Linked DNA regions of Styela clava. The protein of the gene in region 2 interacts with the protein of the main gene of each other region in a pairwise test. Links are inferred from orthologs where the notes say so. Each region holds a gene or a part of one and is shown on either strand. Other genes may lie near its edges.

Evidence for each region. The genes of interacting proteins can lie anywhere in the genome.
Region 1: the proteins of huntingtin-like (region 2) and ubiquitin-conjugating enzyme E2 K-like interact in binary tests that used the Homo sapiens proteins (3 or more experiments, as listed by UniProt). The link is inferred for Styela clava from reciprocal best matches to the Homo sapiens genes HTT and UBE2K.

The regions. Positions count from the first base shown.
Region 1 is NC_135262.1:10,412,739-10,423,995, reverse strand, and holds the start of ubiquitin-conjugating enzyme E2 K-like, read left to right. Parts: upstream 1-6,709; 5' UTR 6,710-6,842; coding exon 6,843-6,899; intron 6,900-7,491; coding exon 7,492-7,579; intron 7,580-8,211; coding exon 8,212-8,353; intron 8,354-8,996; coding exon 8,997-9,160; intron 9,161-9,747; coding exon 9,748-9,815; intron 9,816-9,983; exon of another isoform or gene 9,984-10,197; intron 10,198-10,383; coding exon 10,384-10,455; 3' UTR 10,456-11,257. Other genes in the region: glutamyl-tRNA(Gln) amidotransferase subunit A, mitochondrial-like, read left to right, coding at 4,364-5,938. UniProt on the Homo sapiens protein: Accepts ubiquitin from the E1 complex and catalyzes its covalent attachment to other proteins. In vitro, in the presence or in the absence of BRCA1-BARD1 E3 ubiquitin-protein ligase complex, catalyzes the synthesis of 'Lys-48'-linked polyubiquitin chains.
Region 2 is NC_135250.1:24,313,027-24,324,070, reverse strand, and holds the start of huntingtin-like, read left to right. Parts: upstream 1-6,165; 5' UTR 6,166-6,306; exon of another isoform or gene 6,307-6,385; 5' UTR 6,386-9,564; coding exon 9,565-11,044.

The DNA of each region.
Region 1 (11,257 bases), on a different chromosome or scaffold from region 2:
TTAATTTCCAAATCTACCTCCGACGTTCTGGACCCTGCTGCGTATAAAAAATATTCGGTATTGTACTATTCGGTATTTGTTAAGAATATTCGAATTATTTGATTCGAAAAAAATATTCGATTTTGCCCACCCTTTTCTTGGCCGCCATAAGAGTATAAAAACACGAAAAATTGAGAGTCGTCGAGAAAGAGCTGCGTGTTTGTCTCTCTCAATTAAATTCCAGCCAGAATAAAAAATTGAAACTCATCGAAACAGGCCCAGATATTACATTAAAATACCATTTCTGTTCCTAGCTCATCGGTAGCTCTGAATCGGAATATGTGTAACGTCTTTTCCAGCTGAAGTTGACAAGCTAATATTAAATCTCGTTAATTTATTTTTTTCCGAAATGATCGATGTCATTTAATTGCATAATATAGTTTATTTCCAAAAATCTCATTTGGTGTTCCGTCACAATTTTAGAATAAAAAAAGTGTTCCGCGATACAAAAAAGGTTGAAAATCACTGGTGTACGAGGTTAGGGATCAGGTTGTGCGACATCTTGGTGCGCATACTTCAGTAGTACCAATATTTCAATTTCAACGAAGTTTAAATTAAATTTCAATCAAAATTAAATGTTTTCTAGAAGTCGGTATCTGATCGTTTATCAAATCATGTCAAGGCGTACCATAACTTAGTCGCAGAGAAGGTGTGCTGTTGCATATTTTTAACAAAATTGCAACGAACTTTCGGGTATACGACCCATTTAAATTTGCGTGTGATAGAAACTTAGGTCAGTCACTCAACTGACAGATTGAAGGAAATTAATTACCCACACAGCACGTCAGCATCTCGAGTGATGATCAGGGTGTGTTGCGCTGAACATGAAAATGAATGAAGGCAGATCAATAAAAGTAAATAACGAAAAATTCATTTATACATTCCCGTCTGGCAATTGGTGTTATTTGGAGTGTTTGTTTTTCTTCGCTAAACGGCTCTCTTTCTTTCGAATCGCGTAAATCAGATTCGAAAAAAATTGCGATTTGAATCGATTCAATTCATAAATCTAAAAGGGGCATGCCTACTCATCAGTCCGCTTTCAGGGTCTTCATCCAATCTCACTTCCGTCGGGATATGTTTTGGCTATTTAACTCTCCCAATGTTCGGTATTTTAGTGACTTCAACCGCCTCAAAATTGATAGGACAAAATATCATCTAACCCTAACGTACTTCTTCCTTATAGTGATTAGATTTTTAGTGACCTCAGCCACCTCACCACCCGTCGGAAGAAATTCCATCCACTTCTTTCTGTTAGTGTTCAGCTTTTCAGTGACCTCCGCCACCTCATTATCCGTCGGAAGAAATTTCATCCATTTCTTCCTTTTAGTGTTCAGCTTATTAGTGACTTCAACCACCTCATTATTCGCCGGAAGAAATTTCATCAACTTCTTCCTTTTACTGTTCAGCTTTTTAGTGACTTCAACCACCTCATTATTCGTCGGAAGAAATTTCATCAACTTCTTCCTTTTAGTGTTCAGCTTTTTAGTGACTTCAACCACCTCATTATTCGTCGGAAGAAATTTCATCCACTTCTTCTTTTTAGTGTTCAGCTTTTTAGTGACTTCAACCACCTCATTATTCGTCGGAAGAAATTTCATCAACTTCTTCCTTTTAGTGTTCAGCTTTTTAGTGACTTCAACCACCTCATTATTCGTCGGAAGAAATTTCATCAACTTCTTCCTTTTAGTGTTCAGCTTTTTAGTGACTTCAACCACCTCATTATTCGTCGGAAGAAATTTCATCAACTTCTTCCTTTTAGTGTTCAGCTTTTTAGTGACTTCAACCAGTGACTTCGACCACCTCATTATTCGTCGGAAAAAATTTCATCCACTTCTTCCTTTTAGTGTTCAGCTTTTTAGTGACGTCAATCACCTTATTATTCGTCGGAAAAAATTTCATCCACTTCTTCCTTTTAGTGTTCAGCTTTTTAGTGACTTCAACCACCTCATTATTCGTCGGAAGAAATTTCATCCACTTCTTCTTTTTAGTGTTCAGCTTTTTAGTGACTTCAACCACCTCATTATTCGTCGGAAGAAATTTCATCCACTTCTTCCTTTTAGTGTTCAGCTTTTTAGTGACTTCAACCACCTCATTATTCGTCGGAAAATATTTCATCCACCTCTTCCTTTTAGTGTTCAGCTTTTTAGTGACTTCAGCCACCTAACTACCCGTCGGAAGAAATTTCATCCACTTCTTCCTTTTAGTGTTCAGCTTTTTAGTGACTTCAACCACCTCATTATTCGTCGGAAGAAATTTCATCCACTTCTTCTTTTTAGTGTTCAGCTTTTTAGTGACTTCAACCACCTCATTATTCGTCGGAAGAAATTTCATCCACTTCTTCCTTTTAGTGTTCAGCTTTTTAGTGACTTCAACCACCTCATTATTCGTCGGAAAATATTTCATCCACCTCTTCCTTTTAGTGTTCAGCTTTTTAGTGACTTCAGCCACCTAACTACCCGTCGGAAGAAATTTCATCCACTTCTTCCTTTTAGTGTTCAGCCTTTTAGTGTTTTTTAATTTTTCACCTTTGGGAACACTTCAACTTCCGTTTTCCCTCCACTTCATCCGTTTCTTCCTTCAGCCTTTTAGTGCTGTCCTTACTGCCTTAGTCTTAACTGTATACCGGTATCTGTAAGTGCTTCATGTTATATGTCAAGCTCAAAACAACATAATACCAACCAAGGATTATAAGACTTGCTGAAAAGAAGTTTCTCATTGATGTAAACTTTGATTAAATATCTATGACCCACCATAATAAAAGTATAATTTTGACCCATCCAGTAAAAAAGGTTTGCCATCCCTGATATAGACTAACATTGCCAATATTGCTGTATTATCTAATTTGCCAATGTTACATACTTATTTCTGGTCGAAAATACTCTTGCCACCGCACCTCTGCACCGCACCACTTATATATGAGGGCTACTTGTATATTTGCAAAAACTGCCTTTTATTTGTCAGGCTGATTTATTGCTGCTCAAAATAATAGTCATCGTTTACCTATTTAAATATTGGGTTTAAGTTTTTAATAGGCCACAGTTGTTGTCTTGTTTGAAAGGCTTACTAATAATAGTTATTCAACCTAAATTGTATTTATATATATGACTATCGATCGTATGTTTACCAAAATTGTTTCTTAATTGGGGTATATAATATTTTTTCAGTCACCTATTTGCCATAAATTTTTCTTGTTACTTATCGATTTTAATCGGTAAGTATGTTGATAGGTATTTGTCTGTCTGTCTGTTAGATGCACGCGATATCTCACGAAAACGAGATCGAATCTGCTCCAGATTTTTCATGTGCATTCATCATATCTCGGACCAGAAGCCTATTGATTTTGGGCGAAGTATATCGTATAATTAGCGAGTTATTAATCAATAGTGATGGGACACAAGTTGTCACTATGGAGTAAGAGCGTTTTTTTGGGGGATCCCCTGACTTTTGATCGATAAGTCCTCGGTCTCTGACCGATATTCTCGTTGGAAGGTTGATTCCTCTCTTGAACCAATTGTTTTACATGAGTACCATGTTGTTTATCTCCTGAAATTCATTCGTACATGTAAGGCTGGCTCCTTGCGTCCAAATCTACATTGAGTATAGTAGTCCAATAGCCAAAATTGTTTTTTTTAATTTGTGGGTCTTACTCCTCACTTTCAAATCTCATCATTTAAAAATTGATTTCACGGAAAAAAAATTAATTACTTTTATTTACTTCATTTTTTTGTTTGTTTTTTCAAATTTTGTGTCGTGAACTTCAACCATTTCTAATAATCTTATTTTACTGTGAATTTATCAGCGTAAACTTGGAGGGGGCTGACTTCGATGACCGCATGGTCGTATCGCTCCTTCCAGTCTACACCGAAAAAAGCGTACTTTTTTATAGCCACTATTTATTTATTATTATGACTGTTTTTTTCTGGTTGACGAAATAAATCTCTCTCTCTCTCTCTCTCTCTCTCTCTGACCCTTGATTGTCGCCGTAGGATGACTCACATAACTGCTGATTGTTACGGCTACCTCGGGTCTGGTGGTGACTAATCACAGTGTTAGTGATTCTTCACCTATAATATTTCCCACAACGTTCAATCATCCAATGTGTTGATACGTTTAGCAGTGTGACGGCTAGCATTGCCTTGTTTACTACATGGTATGCTTATTATACTTTGTTTACTGCTGTACTGCATTGCTATGGATGTTTAAAGGGGTAACAAACGAAAAATTACGAGTTATGTTTATTTAATTTATGAATTCATTCATAATTCATGAATTATTTTAATCAAATTTCTATAATGACAGATCATACTTGAAATCAGGATAACAAATGCATTTCAAGGGCATAAGAGCGATTTCTAGATCACTTCAAAAAAATGAAACATCAAAAAGTGATATATTCAAATCATCATTAACTAGAATAGATGAAACTAAGCATCTCAATGCTTTCATCACAGTTGCAAGAAAGGCTGGTAACAATGAGGTCACCAATCAAAAAAATCACATACTGACCGGAACTACATTCTCACTGAAGGATAATTATTCTTCCGAAGGTATACTCACGACATGTGGATCTAAAATGTTGGCAAATTATAAACCAACATACAATGCTACTGTACTTAATAAATTATTAAACCATGGCTCACAACTCATTGGAAAAAACAACATGGATGAATTTGCCATGGGGTCGGGATCTATAGAATCTATCTACGGTCCTGTGAAAAATCCTTGGTCACCTGACGTATTATTGAATCCGTCTAGCAAAGATTGGAGAGTTGCTGGGGGCAGTTCAGGTGGGGGTGCTGTGGCAGTCGCAACTGGATGTTGCCATTTTGCTCTGGGATCGGACACCGGCGGTTCTGTGAGAAATCCAGCTTCTTATTGTGGGGTTGTTGGTTTAAAACCTACTTATGGATTAATATCTCGTCATGGTTTAATTCCTCTTGTTAATTCAATGGATTGTCCTTCCATTTTTGCAAGATCAGTAGAGGATGCTGCTATTGTTTTAGATACATTAAAAGGGAGAGATATCATGGACTCCACTTCAATAGAAAGCAAGAAATTGAAAATATGCTTAAATGAAAATTATGATATTTCTGTCAAAGGATTAAAAGTTGGTATACCAAAGGAATGCCTAGTTCATGGCATGTCTCAGGAGGTTGTAGATATGTGGCGATGGGCAGCGGACCAGTTTGAAAATGCTGGTGCTGAAGTAACACTTGTGAGCTTGCCCCATATGAAATATTCAATAATTTGCTATCATATCCTCGGTAATGTGGAAGTTGCCTCAAATATGGCAAGATTTGATGGTCTTAAGTATGGACATAGGTCGTCTATAAATGAATCTACATATGCAATGTACGCAGTTTCTCGGAGAGAGGGATTCAATGATACTGTGCGAAGTAGAATTCTTAGTGGAAATTATTTTCTTTTAAAAGATAATATAGAAAAGTATTTTTATAAAGCGCAAAAAGTGCGGAGACTTATATTAAAAGATTACCAGAAAGTTTTTGGAGCACATAACTTGTATACAAGTTGTGATAGTGATGATTCTAATTCATCTGGTATTTGCGATGTTCTCCTTGCCCCCACTGTAATTTCTGATGCGCCATTATACTCTGAATTTATAACGGAGGACAATAGGACGCGATCAGCTGAGCAAGATGTATTAACTCAAGCTGCAAATATCGCTGGTGTTCCTGCCATAAATATACCCACTCGATTATCTAGAAATAATATGCCCATTGGACTCCAAATTACTGGTAGACACTTTAGTGAGCCAAAAATTTTGAAAGCCGCTGCTTTTCTTGAGAAAGTAGCACAGTTCCCTAATTTGGAACAACATTTTACAACACAACTTGACTCTTCCAATGCTAGTAAACCTATTTTACAACAGATGTCTTGAAGTGTTCCCTTTAATATATTTGTTTCAAAGCAGTTTCTGATTTGTCATTAGTAATATCATGGAAAGTGTGTTCGTTGGGAGTAGAGTGGTCTTGAAAATTAATTGAGATGGGGTGATAACGTGATATTGTCGAAACTTGTGTCTGGAGTATTCTTTGGCAACCTATGGTATTTTCTATTTCTGAGAGCCTTTTATTACTATCAATGCATTGAAGTTGACTATTAATAATAATATTGTGTTATTGACCAATTTAAAATTGTTTTCTACCTATTTAAAATAATGAGGTTCAAGACAACTTATTCGATTAGTTGCAAGTATTCGAAAAAGCTCATTTTTAATTACCTACTCGCAACTGAAAATAAGGGCCATTTAGTTAGGTTCTCATTGAGGGGTATTGATATTTACTTGTCATAGTCAATTTTATTTTTCCCATCCATCAAAAAATTGGCTCTTGTGCCAATGTGATATTATCGATGGTATTACTATTTCAAAATTTTGACACTGATTTATTAACAAAATTGCCAATAAGCAATTGCGGTAAAATTTGGATAGGGTGTCTCTTCTGTTTTTTGTTTTTTGCACACAAGAAGGATTGAGAATGTGGGCTGAAAGAGAGTCTAATAGATCTTTGAGTCTGACAGTTTGGTAACAGAAAAAAGGTTGGAAACCACTGTTCCAAACTATTAGTCTTTTTTGTTGATGAGGTTCTTTTTGTAATTGACTTATTAAGTTTTTTGTAATTGACTTTTTGCATTATGCGGTTTATGAAAATATTGTTAAAAGTCCGAGTTTATCGCACATAATTGAACCACACTTTTTCATTTTTCAGTAGATAATTTTCTTTAGTGATTATCTTGAAGCAAACTATATTTCATAGAAGTTTAATAAAGATCCAAACTTAGGAATGAGCAGCATAGCTGTTATGAGGATTAAGAGAGAGCTCAAAGACGCTGAAGATGAGGTATGCCAATCATGATTTAAGTAGAAGCAGTAGAGGGGATAATTAATACCAATAACTGTCAACCATTTATTTACCATATTATTAAAATTCAAAATTTAGAAAAATGATAAGATGATTGGTAGCTGGAACCACTAAAATTTCTGGTAGGTCAGGCTCTACTTCCATCTAACATGGTAAGCTCGGCTCCTCCAGTACTGGTTCCAAATCTTTCAAATTTGATCGATATTTTGTTTTAATAAGATAAGTTAGTGTCGAAAAATATTTCACCACATCCTCTATTGAGCCCTTTCACGACCCGCCGTTGGCTGGGACTCCCAGTTAGAAATGAATGTTTTCTAACATACATGCTATTTTGTGAGAAGAGAATATGTTACTCTCAGTAGAGGTGTGCGAGACTAACTCCCAATCCTTTCTCAATGCCTTTACGCTAGTGGATTCGTATGCGTGTAACGCAAGGATGCTGTAGCATGAATAAAATACCATAATATGTTATTCACTTTTTGGATATTAGTACCAATATTCAATAAGCATTCAATGCATTTTGAACTCTAATATTTACAGCCCTTGATATAAACTGTTATCTGTGTTACAGAAAGATTTGTTTATAACGATCACTTGTGAAAGTAAACTGACAGAATTGAGAGGACAGATAAAAGGCCCACCAGGAACACCTTATGCTGGTATACCCAATTGTTATGTCTATTTTCTAGAGTGCATTGATAAAAATAAATTGCCTATTCGTATGTTTCGTTTTTACATACCAGTAGCTGCCACAAAATAATTGACACAGTTACCTATTCGTATTATATCTCCACTTTTCAGAAGTGGAATTTGCTTTGATATAAATGTAACTCTACAATTAGGGCCCTTCTTTGTAGTTGAAAACACTAGCAAAATGTTGAGATAGTCCTTTGTCAAATTTAGATTATCAATCACATGCTTTATTTAAGCATCAGTAATATTTCTTATTGGAGACACTCACAAATAGTGTCCTTATTTCAATTTTCTTGTTAATTTCTGCCACAATGGCTAATCAGTGAAACGATCTCATAGAAGCTGCATTAGATGTGGCTTATTTCGCAAAATAAATCCAAAAATGAGCATGAAAAATTTGTCAATGAGAAAGTAGCCTATAGAAAGAAATTTTTGGGTTAAAAGTCTGAGAAACATCTAATACTTAGTTCTTTGAAGGCGTTATTCTGATTGCTCCTCAATGCCAAGGCAGTTTTAGTATCTTGTAGTTGTAGACTTTTTTGTTCATGTTGTATTTCATAAATTGTATAGCTTATCTAATTTAGATTGTTTTTTTAAGGTGGAACTTATGATTTGGATATCAAAATTCCAGACACATATCCATTCAATCCACCGAAGATAAAATTTCTAACACAGATTTGGCATCCAAACATTAGTTCTGTGACTGGAGCAATATGTCTCGATATCTTGAAAGATCAGTGGTACGTAGAATGTAAAACATGCTCAAATGATAAAAATAAAAGTTGTAGTTAGACAATAAAAGTCTGGGTCATCAGGGATAGTGAAGAAAAATTCGCAATATTTTCCCAATTGAATAGAGGATGGATGGAAGAGGACCCATCACAGGATAACCGATATGACGACTTTTTCATATGGTAAATCACGTCGGCGCTCCAGAAGTGTGTGTACCAATATGGAGGTAACTAGTTTAGTACGCCCACTTAACATCAAGTTGTGTAAAGGGACTGAAGCCTATAAGCAGGGGGTAAATTCATTTGACTAACACGGACAGTCCCAGTACTCATAATAGAACTAAAATAAGGAAAATCGGAATAAAATTATGGCCTCACTCACCTTAACCTGGTACACACGCTACAGGAGTACCAATCACGTCAGCAAGCAGCAGTCCAGCAATCCTCCAGCACATAATTACCGGTATCCCCTACAGGATCCGAAACTGTGAATGAACCCATGCAAGAGGTTCGATGGCGAGCCTATTCCCAACACTTCGCAAGATGCGCGACTCTGCCGAGCGAACTACAGCGAAATACTCAGCTACTTTGCCGATAGTATATGCATGCAGATAAAGCAGAATAATAATATCCTGTGAATTTTATATTACAGGGCGGCTGCACTTACATTACGAACAGTTTTATTATCCTTACAAGCTTTACTGCAGGCTGCAGAACCAGATGATCCACAAGATGCGGTAGTTGCAAAACAGTTTAAAGATAATCGACATATTTTTAATAAAACAGCATTATATTGGGCGCAACATTTCGCAAAAGGTAAGTTGGTTTATTTGAGCGCAATTTGCAACCAACTCTATCAATTATTCGTTTTCGTTTACACTTTCGTGTATCTTCGTGAATCGATGCGAAGCAAATATAATACTCAATAGCTGATGAATAAACTGAACACATAATGAAATTTAAAAATCTATGACATGGTCATGTTTAACTAAGAACGCATGGAGTAAATAGCTTTCAATGAGGTTGTATTCGTTAATGCAGGAATTATTTGAATGATTCTTACTATTTTTGCAGTTGTTGTGTTTTGTTATGCTGTTAGCCTTCAATTGCTCGACATGGTAATTTTGCCAAATAAAATTATTCCTAAAGTTAAAAGAAGTTTATTGAAGTATCAAATATGGCTAATTTTAATTTTCTGTATTTAGCACGCACCTGCTTCGCAATCAAATATTTTGTTAAACCACAATCACAAATATCACTTGGCTTATTACCTAACCTTTTCTTTTCAAAATACTCTCATCTATCAGTATTCTGAAAAAGCCTGCAAAAAAGATATCTGCTTATACTAAATCAAAGTCAATTACCTAGGACTATTATGAATATTCCATTTACTTTTATTGTAGCACCAGGGAAAAAAGAGGAAAGTTTTGAAAAACAAATACGTACAATCACGGAAATGGGTTTCTTTCAGGTAAGATTCATTTTCATTATTAATTATGTTTTTCGACCCTAATGGAGTCAATGATGGAAAAGGGGTTATTCATGTGCAATTTTTAGCTTCTTGTAATATTGCTAGCCCAAGTATTTCGACTCCATAACCATAATCACGAAACAATAAATAAAACTGATTACAGAATCAAGGGAGAAAAGTATGATCATATCTAATCAGGTAACTGGTAATTTGTTCCTCTCAGCTGTCTCTTATATTAGGTGAATTAGTGATATTGAATGATACCACTGAGATATCCATATGCAGATGGTTGTTCAATGTCATCTACTTCTGAAATCGGCAAACAAGGTGTCACTGACACAACGACTTTGGTAGTCTTCCGTCTGCTTGCGACTCCCGTCAACTGCGGAAAAAATATCTTTTTATTTAAATTGATCGTTTATTATTATATATTTTTAATTGTGTCGTCACAATTTTTCATGCACAACGAAATAAATATCTGAATCTACCAGTCGCCACCAAATTCTTGATCATTCCCAGCTACTGTGCAGTGATATTAATCTTATCATATTTTTCAACATTTTTTTAGAGTGATGCATTGCAAGCACTTTCTGCTCATAATTGGAATATGGAATCAGCAATACAGTATTTAACAAGTTGATTTTTGATTATTATATTTATAAAAAGTTTTTTACGGTATAACTTGATTCATGTTCCAAGACATTTTCCCTTCTACGACAAATGTGTGCCACTGTTTCAAAGCATTGTGGCTATAAGACACTTCTGCAGTCTTTGTTATCATTGGATAACATTTTATGAGGTCACAGTTCTAATATAAAAATTTCAAATTTCTGTTGAAAGAGATACGTTTGAAAGTTGAAAGATGATTTTTGAGTGGTATCTTCAGTTGGTCACTCCACCCTAATATGCATTAAAACATAGTTTCAGACAATACACATGATGTTATGACTCAGATTTTGTTTGTCTTGAGTTACGTTTGAGTGCAGGCTTGTGAATTCAATGTGAGAACATGATGTGATGTCATCGACTGAAAATGGAGTATTCAATAGAGTTTTGGTCCGGCATTTCCTCTACTGCTCATATTTTTTTGGAGTGTTTCATTCATGCATTAATATGGAGCTATATGATAATGAAAAATCGGACCTCCAGAAGTATGCGCACCAAGATGGCGCACAACCTGAACATAGTATGTGTGTACCGGTTGGGATTCAAACTTCTGAAGAACCGAAAAATCAATTATTATTAGAAAACTAATTGTTCAAAAAACTTGCATTTATCATGACTGACCAGGTCATATTATTTCTGCTTGGTTATCCTAGACATTGATTAATTTGAAAGACTGGGCAATCGCATGCTATATAAATTGAGTCAATTCTATATCAAGCCAATGCTTCCAATATAGTTTCACATATGTATATTTTTTTTCACTTCGCAGGCTTCAA
Region 2 (11,044 bases):
TCAAGTCAGTTTTTAAGCCAAACAAAACAGTCGCGAATCATTTTCGAGTTAGGAATGACAGGCATTTAAAGTATCGGATATATATAAATATAAACATGTTTTCATACACAGTCCAAGTCGGGTAAAGGATCGCCTTAGACATTTTAATTTGTTTCAATGCAGGGGCGAGAATGGCTCAGGAGCCAAGCTACTGCTGATAAGTAAAACATTCGTCGTGGATAGAGGAATCCAAAATTTGAATGTATTGAAGTGTGTGAATAGTACCTGGTAAATTTTTGCTGTTGATATTAGGGTGATTGATGTTGCTGGAAAAAAATCATCTCATTTTTTTGTGCTATCTATTATTATTGAGATACATAATTAATCCGGGATTGTTTTCACATATAAATAAAGACCATGTTGTTGTACTGCCATAGCTAAGTCAATATTTACCCTATTATCACCTTATACATATAGCATTTGTTTTATCAAAAATTTCTTCGAAATTGCACTTATGAGAAAGATGCGCTTGTTTGCCACCAGCAAGTTTTCAAAATCGTACGAGGCTTTCTCTAAGTATAGCCGCTAGTCATCTCCATTTTGGTGCTACATTTTTGATTTCACAATGCACTGAATCACAAAGTCTCACAAAGACAAGTTGTTGCACGAAAACCAAGTTTTGAATGTCAAATTGTGAAACTATCTGATCCCGTTTGCACTTGAAAGCCTACCGTAACTCTAAGAATTTATATTTATTATAGGAGACAAAAAAAAGGAAGAAAAATATTGCATACAACGTATAACTAGACTGCATGGAGAATACAGATATGAAGCAAACTTCTTCGGGCCTGTTCATTCATCTTCTATTGTTAGAATAATCTAACGTTATAATATATACGACGAGAATTATCCTAATTCAACCTTCACTTTTCAATTCTCAATGTTGTTGTACTTTACAGGCCTTCTGTTTCAAGTTGTAGGTCAACAAACATAGAAGGTCACGCCAGGTAAGGCCAAGCCAACAAGAGGCTGTTACAGCACATTATTCCAAATATAGGTAACGAAATGTTTAAATTCTCGCCTACACCATCTTTATAAACCGTAACTGTTATAAAACTGTTTTTTTAGAGCTGTAAGTTCGTTATGGTTTTCCAAAAGAAGGATATATATTTCAGACAGTTGAATAAAAAAAACATGTTTTCGAAAATTTCGAACCTCATCTCTTCCGAGAATTTTTATATATGTGTGTTAGGAAAGATGTTGCTAAATAATTTCTTATCTGTATAGTTTTTGAACTTATTATGATCCATACGCTATTTAAGAATGTTAACTTTTTCTTATTGGCAATGTGGTTCGAGATCAGATAAAGTCGCCCAAACCAGAATGATGCATGGTAATAAATAAGGTTGTTATAGAACAGATGGATATGTGTGTTCATAAGTGATATTGTTAAATATTTTTCAGTTCTATTTTTGTGACTCAAATTGTAAGTGTAAATCTAACTAGCGGTGGTCATTTTGTATCTTAGTCAATTTTAGTTTGCTGTTAAAATGCCAGAAAAAGATGACATATAGCTGCAGGTACATTTTAATGGTGGTGGTTGAAAATTCTTAGTATTGAAAATAAAAATTATTTGATGATAGGCATAAAAATTTCGCATAAGTAAACTAGTAAAGTATATACATATGTAGGAAATATTCTGGGGACAAAAACCGGGGTAACATCTATTAGCATTACGTAAAATACAAAAACATTTTTAGAATTAACATTTAGTGCGTGGTGTTTTTAGGACAAAACTTATCAATCAAAATATTACATAATATGTAATTTGGTATTTGCAATTAAGATTCCGTCTTGGTCAGAGACCAGTGCCCATTGAAACACTACCTGTGCCCTATTCTTCTGTCGAAATTCCACTTGCAAATATGAAGTCTATTTGTTACTCCAGCTAGAGCAGTGCTTTCCGAACTTTCCGTGTAGATAACATACCTGTACTTTTAATTAATTTCATTCGAATTAAATTTCAACTGTCCTCATACCGGACATGGGTCATGTAACCGGAAGTAAGGCTGTTGTTCACTTATCCGTATGATAAAGCCACATTTTCGTTCTTTCTTTTTCCTAGTGCCCTGGGATAAACGCTTTTCGTCGCCAATTATTCAGTACCGGTAGCCATTGTTGAAGCTGACTCTTCTTTTTTATTTTTTTATTGGATTTTTATAAACTAAAAAATATTGCAATAAACAATATGACTCTTCACAAATGTGCAGTACCTTGCGACCAGTTACCGGCGACCAGTTCGGTACCGGTACCTTCGCAGTACAGTACAGTTTACCGTACCGTCAAATCACAGTCTACAAATATATTCACACCAATGACATTAAACAACATGATGCGCAACTCCGGCATTTTTGTCCGAAGATCGTATTCGATAGCACGCTCCAATGCACATACTTGACGAGACGAAAACGAGCGGATGTGTGCTGCTTTCAAGGCGTAGCACGAATGGTGTTCGTGCCTGCTTTGACAGTTGTTGTCGATTTTAATGATATTTTTGAAAGTTGGGGTAAAAAGAAATCGGTAAAAGGTAAGGTGAATACTATTGTTGTATATCACACCCGGGCATCGCACTGTTAAGTACATGTGGGAAAGCCAGCCTTTGTCAAATACTACGAAGTTATTAATTCAGTACGGTACGTAGTTGCCCATTTGCCGAAATTACATATTTACTTACTCCTTATGGTTTCAAATAGTTCATGCACCTCCAGTTAGATTTTTTTTAATCAGTGAGGATATATACTCATTGTTGATTGCTGCTCATTGTAACATACTATTACGCATTCACTTTTATTTGCGTATTTAATCAAAGTGTTAACAAGTTCACCTAACATGTCACTCATACCGGTCTATATTGTATAGTCTGATTTCTCAAGTATTTGGAGCCACGAATGCTTGTAATTTTCTGACTAAACCCTTTTATTAGTTGGTTTATTTTCCAAAATTCAGTAAAATATTTTTTAAATAAAACATGAGATATTGGATTTATTAGCTTTTCCATTCTGAATCATATAGACTGCTTTATTTATTCTTAACGAAAATTAATAAATCTCCTCTTTTTCTTCAGATGTGAAAGTTGTGGACAAACCTGTCTAAGCATTGTGAGACTCTTGCAGCACAAGAGGCAATAGCAGAAATAGTAAGTATATCAATCAAGAAATTAAGCCGACATAAAGCAAAACTTTCAACTATTCGTCTAATCTCAATTTCCTATTATTTATTCACAGGACAACTATAGCAGACGTGGAGATATCAGAAGTCTGGCGACATATCAGTGACAGTGTGATTCCAAGAAATATAATGCAATTGAAAATAGAAAATTGCAATAGAAAAACAACCTATGGAGGCATGCAAAGACATTTGACCCTCCGGTAGAGTTGTGTATGGCCCCCACATCCTGCAGGGCTTTAGGAAAATAACTAAAAATTCCAAAGCGTAAGATTGCATAAGCGGTCTTATTTGTAAAAAGGCACAAAACACGCCAGACATACTTAAAACAGCTTTGGAAATGAGGATTACGGGTACCTCACTGCACCTGTGTTATATTTGGTTCATCAACTTTTGGTAGTACTATAGAAGAAATTCCGAAAGGGGTATAATCATCATTCATGATAAAATACTATAATATATTTTTTGAACAACTTCAATCTAGACCAGGGATCTCAAACTCGCGGCCCCAGAGAACTTCCAGTGCGGCCCTCGAACGCTTAACAATAATTGTAATAGTATTTTGGAAGTTTTTTTTTTATCTAAATGTAATAGAATTTTCAAACCTTCTAAAGTGAAATTGATTATTCACACAGAAAACAATTTACTGAAAGTAGTTTTGGAATATTAATTTTTTTTGTCCACATTTTGACCCAATTAAGAATACACATCAAGCTAGCAAAAGAATACTTGAATAAAACACTTGAGTAATTAAATTAAACGCAAAGTACACGAAGAAGGTGGCATTTTCGAAGAAAATGGGAGTTGTAACATTTCTGCTCTTCACAAAATTCTGAAGCACATTGTTTAATTTGTCATATTTCCATCAATACAATCAAAAAACACAATAAGCTCAGCAGTCAATATGACAAATTCGAAGACCAACTTCGAACAGAAAATTTCCATGTGTTTGTATATTAATATAATTATACAACGACTTAGTTACTAAAAATCAAAATCAATAATAATTCAAGCAATCCTATGCCACGCAATGTAGTGCGAAATGTCTTGTCGGAAAAATCTGTCATTTGTTTTTTTACTGATCTATACATGAAATGATAAAAGTAACTTTTTTGCATTACTGGAATTAATTAAACATTCGTAAAGATCCAGATAAACCCATGATCATGTGGCCTCGTTAGTTAGAGTTGGTACTATAAAATCATTTCAGACTGGCCTTAGTATGCTGGTGACACAAAAAAGATGCCAAACGCCAGGACGAATGTAATTATTAAAACATTGAGTTTATACTGTAGTATTTTTGTTAATTTTAGGTTCATATATTTAGATTAAGTTATTTTCAGTGTATGTATTTTTCTTTCCTTATTCAAAGCTTGTTCAAATATGATTTTGATGGTTGTACATAGAATTTTACGATTTTTTATAATAAATACTGTAACTTGCAAATGTTGCAATAATAGTGGAATGCAAATATTAATATGTAATTGCATTTGAAATTGAAGAAAATAATCCGCTATCGCGTTTGTAATCTTTTCTGATAAAAAAAAACGTCTATGATGTCCAGAATTGCTCTTTACAGCTTGCCTGTTATTCCAGCTTTCCAAGTAAGCAAAACTTCTTAGATATAGAGATTATTTTGTTTCGTTACAGGCGCAAAAAGGCAGGTACTACACGTAAAAAAGACGCCGAGTAGCAAAAGCGAGCGGAAAACGGACGCGAAAGGCGACGAGAAATATGTGCATTGGAGCGTATCATGAAATACAATGTTTTGCCTGTAGTCTTATGGAGTGACGTCAGAGTTGCCTATCATGTTGTTTAATGTCATTGTTCACACCAAGCGAAGCAGTACAGTAGGACACAAAATGGCGTCCGACATCATGGCAAACAAAAACAAATATCACAGAGCTAACAGAAATATTTAAAATGAATAAAAGTAATAGCCTTCTGGGAAAAAATTTTATCTTCAACCAATTAAAATTTCAAAGCAATTGGTCCAGTACCGGTATTCGAAGAGAAAAGCGGTTTTTTAATATTTCCACTAGGTGTGTTATTCTGTGTCAAACAACAAGAACAACATAATATTGAAACGATCGTTATGTCCACTACGTGTTCAAAAATGTGAAAATCATAAAGTCTCACCGGTACCGGTACCAGTAAAGAAAACTCACAACGCAATCGCTCTGTGATTAGCGTTTACTCAGTACAGCAGTAGTGCCGACTGAAATGATACCGGTATTAGTTGTAAGCCGTTACGGTACGGTACGTAAAACCGGCTAACTTCGGATGCTTTGTAACTTCGGATGAAATTTTCAATCATTCATATCTCAACTAAATTTCGTCGTATTGCGCTTCTGTCGGTTTCTATAGTAAGGCCTTACATATCTGAATCTGCCGTAGCCTCCAATCGCTCGATTTGATTTTTTATCATTCAAAAAATCATATTTTACCAAAAAAATGACACCGTTTTTTCGAGCGGCTCAAATCGTGACTTCTACAGACGCTACCTTCGTCAAATCACCGCCAAGCGCTAGAGAGCGTACACAATGTATACAAAAAAATACAGTGATCACAAGGTGTCGTACGAGATTCGAGTGAAATCGGTTATTTTGATTTAAAAATTACATTAAAATATTGACGTTTTGATGATTACGTACAGCGTGACGTCAACGACGCAAATCCCGTTCTCTCTCTTCGTAGCCGACGTCACTTTGCGTAGCTCGTGCGTTACTCGCTGCGACATTTGAACGCCAGACATCGCGGCGCCCAGTTTTGTGAAATTTAAAAATTATGCTTATACATGATCCTAGTCACTAAATCCTACAAAAACATCACTATCGTCTCAGTCATATGTTGTTTATTTAAAAATATGGGTATGCATACGCTTAATGCATATGAAATTTGTCGATTTTTGTTTTTGCATACTTCCTCCGACACCGATAGATACCGTAGCAATTGGTAATACGTTAGGCCTGAAACATGTATCTATACGATCATAATGATTAGATATGTCTGTTTACGATCGGCAGATGATAATAATATCTTTAACAGGTGAGCGTAGAACTCTACATACATGCACACAGCAGGAGGTTGGACCACATACAGGTGAGGCGCAAAATGAAAAAAAGTGGCAAAGTTTCTTTTTGCCGTTTTTATCCGTTTATTGTCATTTGACTTTATTAAGTGAAACGAAAGCGAGGATCGAAAGTCACACCGGGCAGGAACCTCTGCCGAGCCGATCAACGGGGAGCTCTGAGAAAATCAGAAAATATGAAAAGTGATAATCAAGACGAAACCTGCTCTGCTTGTGGATTATGGAATGAACCAAATGGAAGTACGGAAATTGAGGATGAATGGGTCGGTTGCGAAAGCTGCAGCGAAACACATTGGTTCCACAAGACCCGTCTAACCCATGTGGAAATGATTACAATTCTTGATTTTGCCAGCGTTTCCTTCAATTCATCTGTTTATTTTTAACTGTCGATTTTTTGTTCATACCTTACTTGTTCCATATTGCTTTTTGATTTCAATTTTTACTTTTGCCAGTGTTTCATTCGATTCATCCGTTTATTTTTAATTGTCTAATTTTTGTTCATTCTTTACTTGTTCCATATTGCATTTCAATTTCAACCTACACCAGTGTTAGGTACTTTCAATTCTTCCGTTTTTTTTTTTTGCTAATCCTTTTATTGCATTGAAAATAAACGATCATAAAAGAACGAACTAGCATTTTGCAATAAATTAGGAGTAGTTAGTGAAATATATACGAGTTATAATAAAGGACACAAGAATAAATAGTTAAGCTTCGCGAAGCGGCAAGAGTAACGTCACGTACAAACGTCAGTATTCAACACGCAAGACAGGTCGTGGCGGCGTAAGGTCTATTCAGCGACGTTGTCACGCGTCATTGCTTACGCAGACATTTCTCTCTCACGACGAGTTGACGCAAAGAGAAAAGTGGCCATCCGAAGTTAGATAATTTTAGAATAGACGAATAAAGACAATAATTTCAATGAAAAAAGGCTTTGATGGATATGGAACCGACTTTATCAAGACGAGAATAGCCACAATGTATTATATTCCAAATTTGGCTTCAGTTGAACAACATGCGGCGGAGATATTGTTCAAAATATAGTGAAATCATCCGAAGTTAGCCGGTTTTACGGTACCGGTTTGGCGCAACATACAGCTGTACAGACATGCCGTGGCCCGTGGGTAGGCTAATTTATTGGGTAAGACTGCGTTTGGTATAAACAAATAGGACCGGTACCGGTAATGGTTTAACGTTACAGCGTTAAGTGTAGGCAATAAAGCATAGGATTTACATACCGGTATTTCTCTATTTACCGTATCCCTGGGGAAAGGAAAGGGATAAGATGGCTTAGTGATCAATTAGAAATTTCCCTTGTGTTCTGTTTTACATATACCATAGCATTGGTTCCCAACCGCGGCGGTGTGGCTCAACGGGCTAAGCGTTAGGAATACGCTCGCCACCGCACCTCTAATTACTCTGCGTCGGTTCGCAGGTTCGAATCCCATGCAGGGATGGTCCATGGCAGGGATTAATATGATAAACCCAATGAAAAAGCTTGATTCAAATTGTGATTCTACTTTACAGTCCAGATTTAAAAAAGAATCACTGTCACAATTTTGGATATCTCTTGATAACAAATACCCATCGCTAAGTAATCGAGCAATCAAACTGTTGTCCGTATTTTCAACGAGTTACTTATATTTTTATTACTTTTAAATGAAAATATTTTCATCACTAGCTTTAATTAAAGCGAAGCAAGGAAATTGGTTGCACGCCGCTGCAGGGCTACGTGTTGCAGAAACTTCCTTGAGGCATCGTTTGCAATCCCATATTGGAAACTAAACAGCAGCAAAATTTTTAGTTAATTGATGTTTTTTTAAGTGTGCCTTTTTGTCTAGATGCATATTGAGTGCCCGACGTTGCATTGTATTACGCAAATATGCGATATTCTTTTATGTTCCGGTCATTTCAATTTTTGCCGGTCCTCGAGTACATTTAATTTAATTTAACCGGTCCACCAGGGTAGAAAGGTTGGGAACCACTGTACTATACCGGTAGTACCGGTATATTTGGTTACTGGCTTAAATATGTTAGGAATTCCATGAACTGACTAAGCTGCATTTAATCTTTTGTCATGCTGGTGATACGGTACATTTTTACCACATTTTTTGAGTTCACCATCCACTAATACCGTATACAGCATAGCTTGTATATATAGACTATATATCTTTATTTTTGCTCTTTTCATATATCGAATGTTTGTATATATTATTGTTTAACATCATCTAAAGCCCACAGAATTTATTGTTTAAATGAGTTTTCAACAAAATATGCCCTCACCCAATGTGAAGTTTTTCTGGGATTACAATATATCGAATTTATTAATGTGTTATTTGCCAGACCAACATCATAATCAGCAACATCAGCAAATAGGGTAGGAGTTGACTTTGATGACTCCTATGCATGCCGCATGGGCGTATCGCTCCCACCTGTCCATACCAAAGCAATTTTTATTTTAATTTTGCCAAATTTTTTTCTAAAGTTGACTGTTTGTATTCTGGTTGACTTGATTAGTATTGTACTTGATGAAAGTGTAGTATAATATATATAGAGTTTTTACACATGCCCTCTGAACTATACAATGAATCTAATGTAAAGTGTTGAATGGTAGAAAGTTTTTCTTTATCAGCCGACTCGTTTTTCATTTTTCTGTCTTTATTTTATAATTTCATAGCGTGATAATCCATGCTGACAGTTTGATCACAGCGTAAATAAAATGGTCGGGAGCCTCGGTGACCTGTGAAGGTCTTGCATACTGACCATCACAATTTAATGTTTGAATATCCACTGCACTGTATTTTCATAAAAATATGTACTGTTATCCTTTTTTAACATTGTTTTGTGGAAATAAAGTTTTTCTCTCTCTAACCATATGGCGAACCACGGCCACTCGTCCGACTACCATTCCATGTCGGGTATGGAATGGTTAAGCTGTCTTATCGACTTTCCTCTCTCCGGGGAGAAATATGTAAATCCTGTCCTACAGTCCTAATATCTGGTAATAATATAGGCAAAAATTAAAATTCGGGACTTGTAAATTTCAAGGTATTACAGTACCGGTATCGCGCTATGTGAACACTTTTGTCATTGTTTTTGATTATGTACCGTACTATTCTCAGTTAGCTGGGATAACTCATTTCACACTTTATCATAAAATCATTTTTTTCTTCAGTTTCACAATGTAATTCTTTATAACTATCATTTTCCAAGTAATAAAGTAGATGGTACTAGTAATTTTGTGACTGGAATTCTTACAAGAGTTTATATAAATGGAGAAACTTGTTAAATCTGTGAATAATATAAAACAGTATTATGGCGGAGAGACAACAGATGCAAATAAAAAGGAGCAGATTCCCATGCCGACGAAGGCAGAAAGACAGGAATGCTGTAAAACAATGGCGGAAAGCATACTGTCCAGTCCTGTGAAAGGCAATAATGAATATTCTGGATTATTGGGTGTGACTATTGAAATGCTATTGTTGTGTTGTCAGGATGCTGAGGCTGATGTTAGAATCGCAGCTGAGGAATCTATTAATAGAATCATAAAAGGAACAGAAGAACTGCATTTTGGGAAAGTTTTGATTGAGTTTTACAAAGAAATTAAAAGAAACGGATCAAGTCGTAGTTTGAGAACTGCGCTTGTACGTTTCTCCAGTTTGGCACACAGGATTCGTCCAAGCAAATGCAGGCCATATGTTGTTAGTCTTCTTCCACCATTTATAAAAATATGCGAACGGAATGACGAAAGCATACAAGAATGTTTATCTGCATCTGTCTCTAAAATATTTCCTTTAATTGGGTCGTTTGCCGCGGAAGCAGAATTGCAAAGTTTTATAGACGCACTGATGAAAAATTTATCGAGCCCCTCTGCAGCGATTCGAAGGACATCTTCGATATGTATTTACGAAGTTGTGAGCAACTCAAGTAAAAAGCAAGTTATGTTATTCAACATTGTTTCTAGTATACTTGGATCATTTTCAACAAAAAATTTTGATGTCAATTTCATATTAGGAAGTCTTATCATATTACGGTATTTGATACCTCTGTTTGCAATTGTAGGGACAAAAATTACAAGAAGAACTGGCAGTTTTGGTTCAGATAAAGATTCAAAAATTGACGTTGTTTTCGATGATATAATTGTCCAAATTTTCGAGCTTTGTGTGCATTTTTCTTGCTTCAAAGAAGCAAATGTTGTAACAGCTTCACTCGAGACTTTACAAATTTTGTTGAAGTTGCCATCTGCGTCACTAAAGGAGTTACTGGAAGCAAAGCCTATCAAAGAAACAGTTTTTTCAAAGTCATTAGTGACATTTTTGAAATCGAAAGGAATAAAAAAGCAAAGTTCCACGAACCAGGACCGAGATTTTGATAGCAGTGGTACGAATGCTTCTCAAACTATAGAGACACCAGTTTCTGAAAATAATACAATTGAGGACACGATGACAAGTGTAACAGAAAAATTAAATGAAGCTGGTATTTCATCCGAGGATGTGTCAACACACCAGAATGAACTACCTATATCTACTGTGCAATCTAATGATGCCAAACCTGATGCTATTATCAATGAGCCATCATCAGACATAACACATGAAGAGGTGGATAGTGAACAGAATACAGAATTGGAAATAGCCAATCTTGACAGTTTGGATTGTAATTCATCTGAGGAAATTTATTTCAACAAACTCGAGAATCTTTATTGTGAAGCAGATCCAATTCAAATGTTTGTACGAATACTCAGTGAGAGAATTT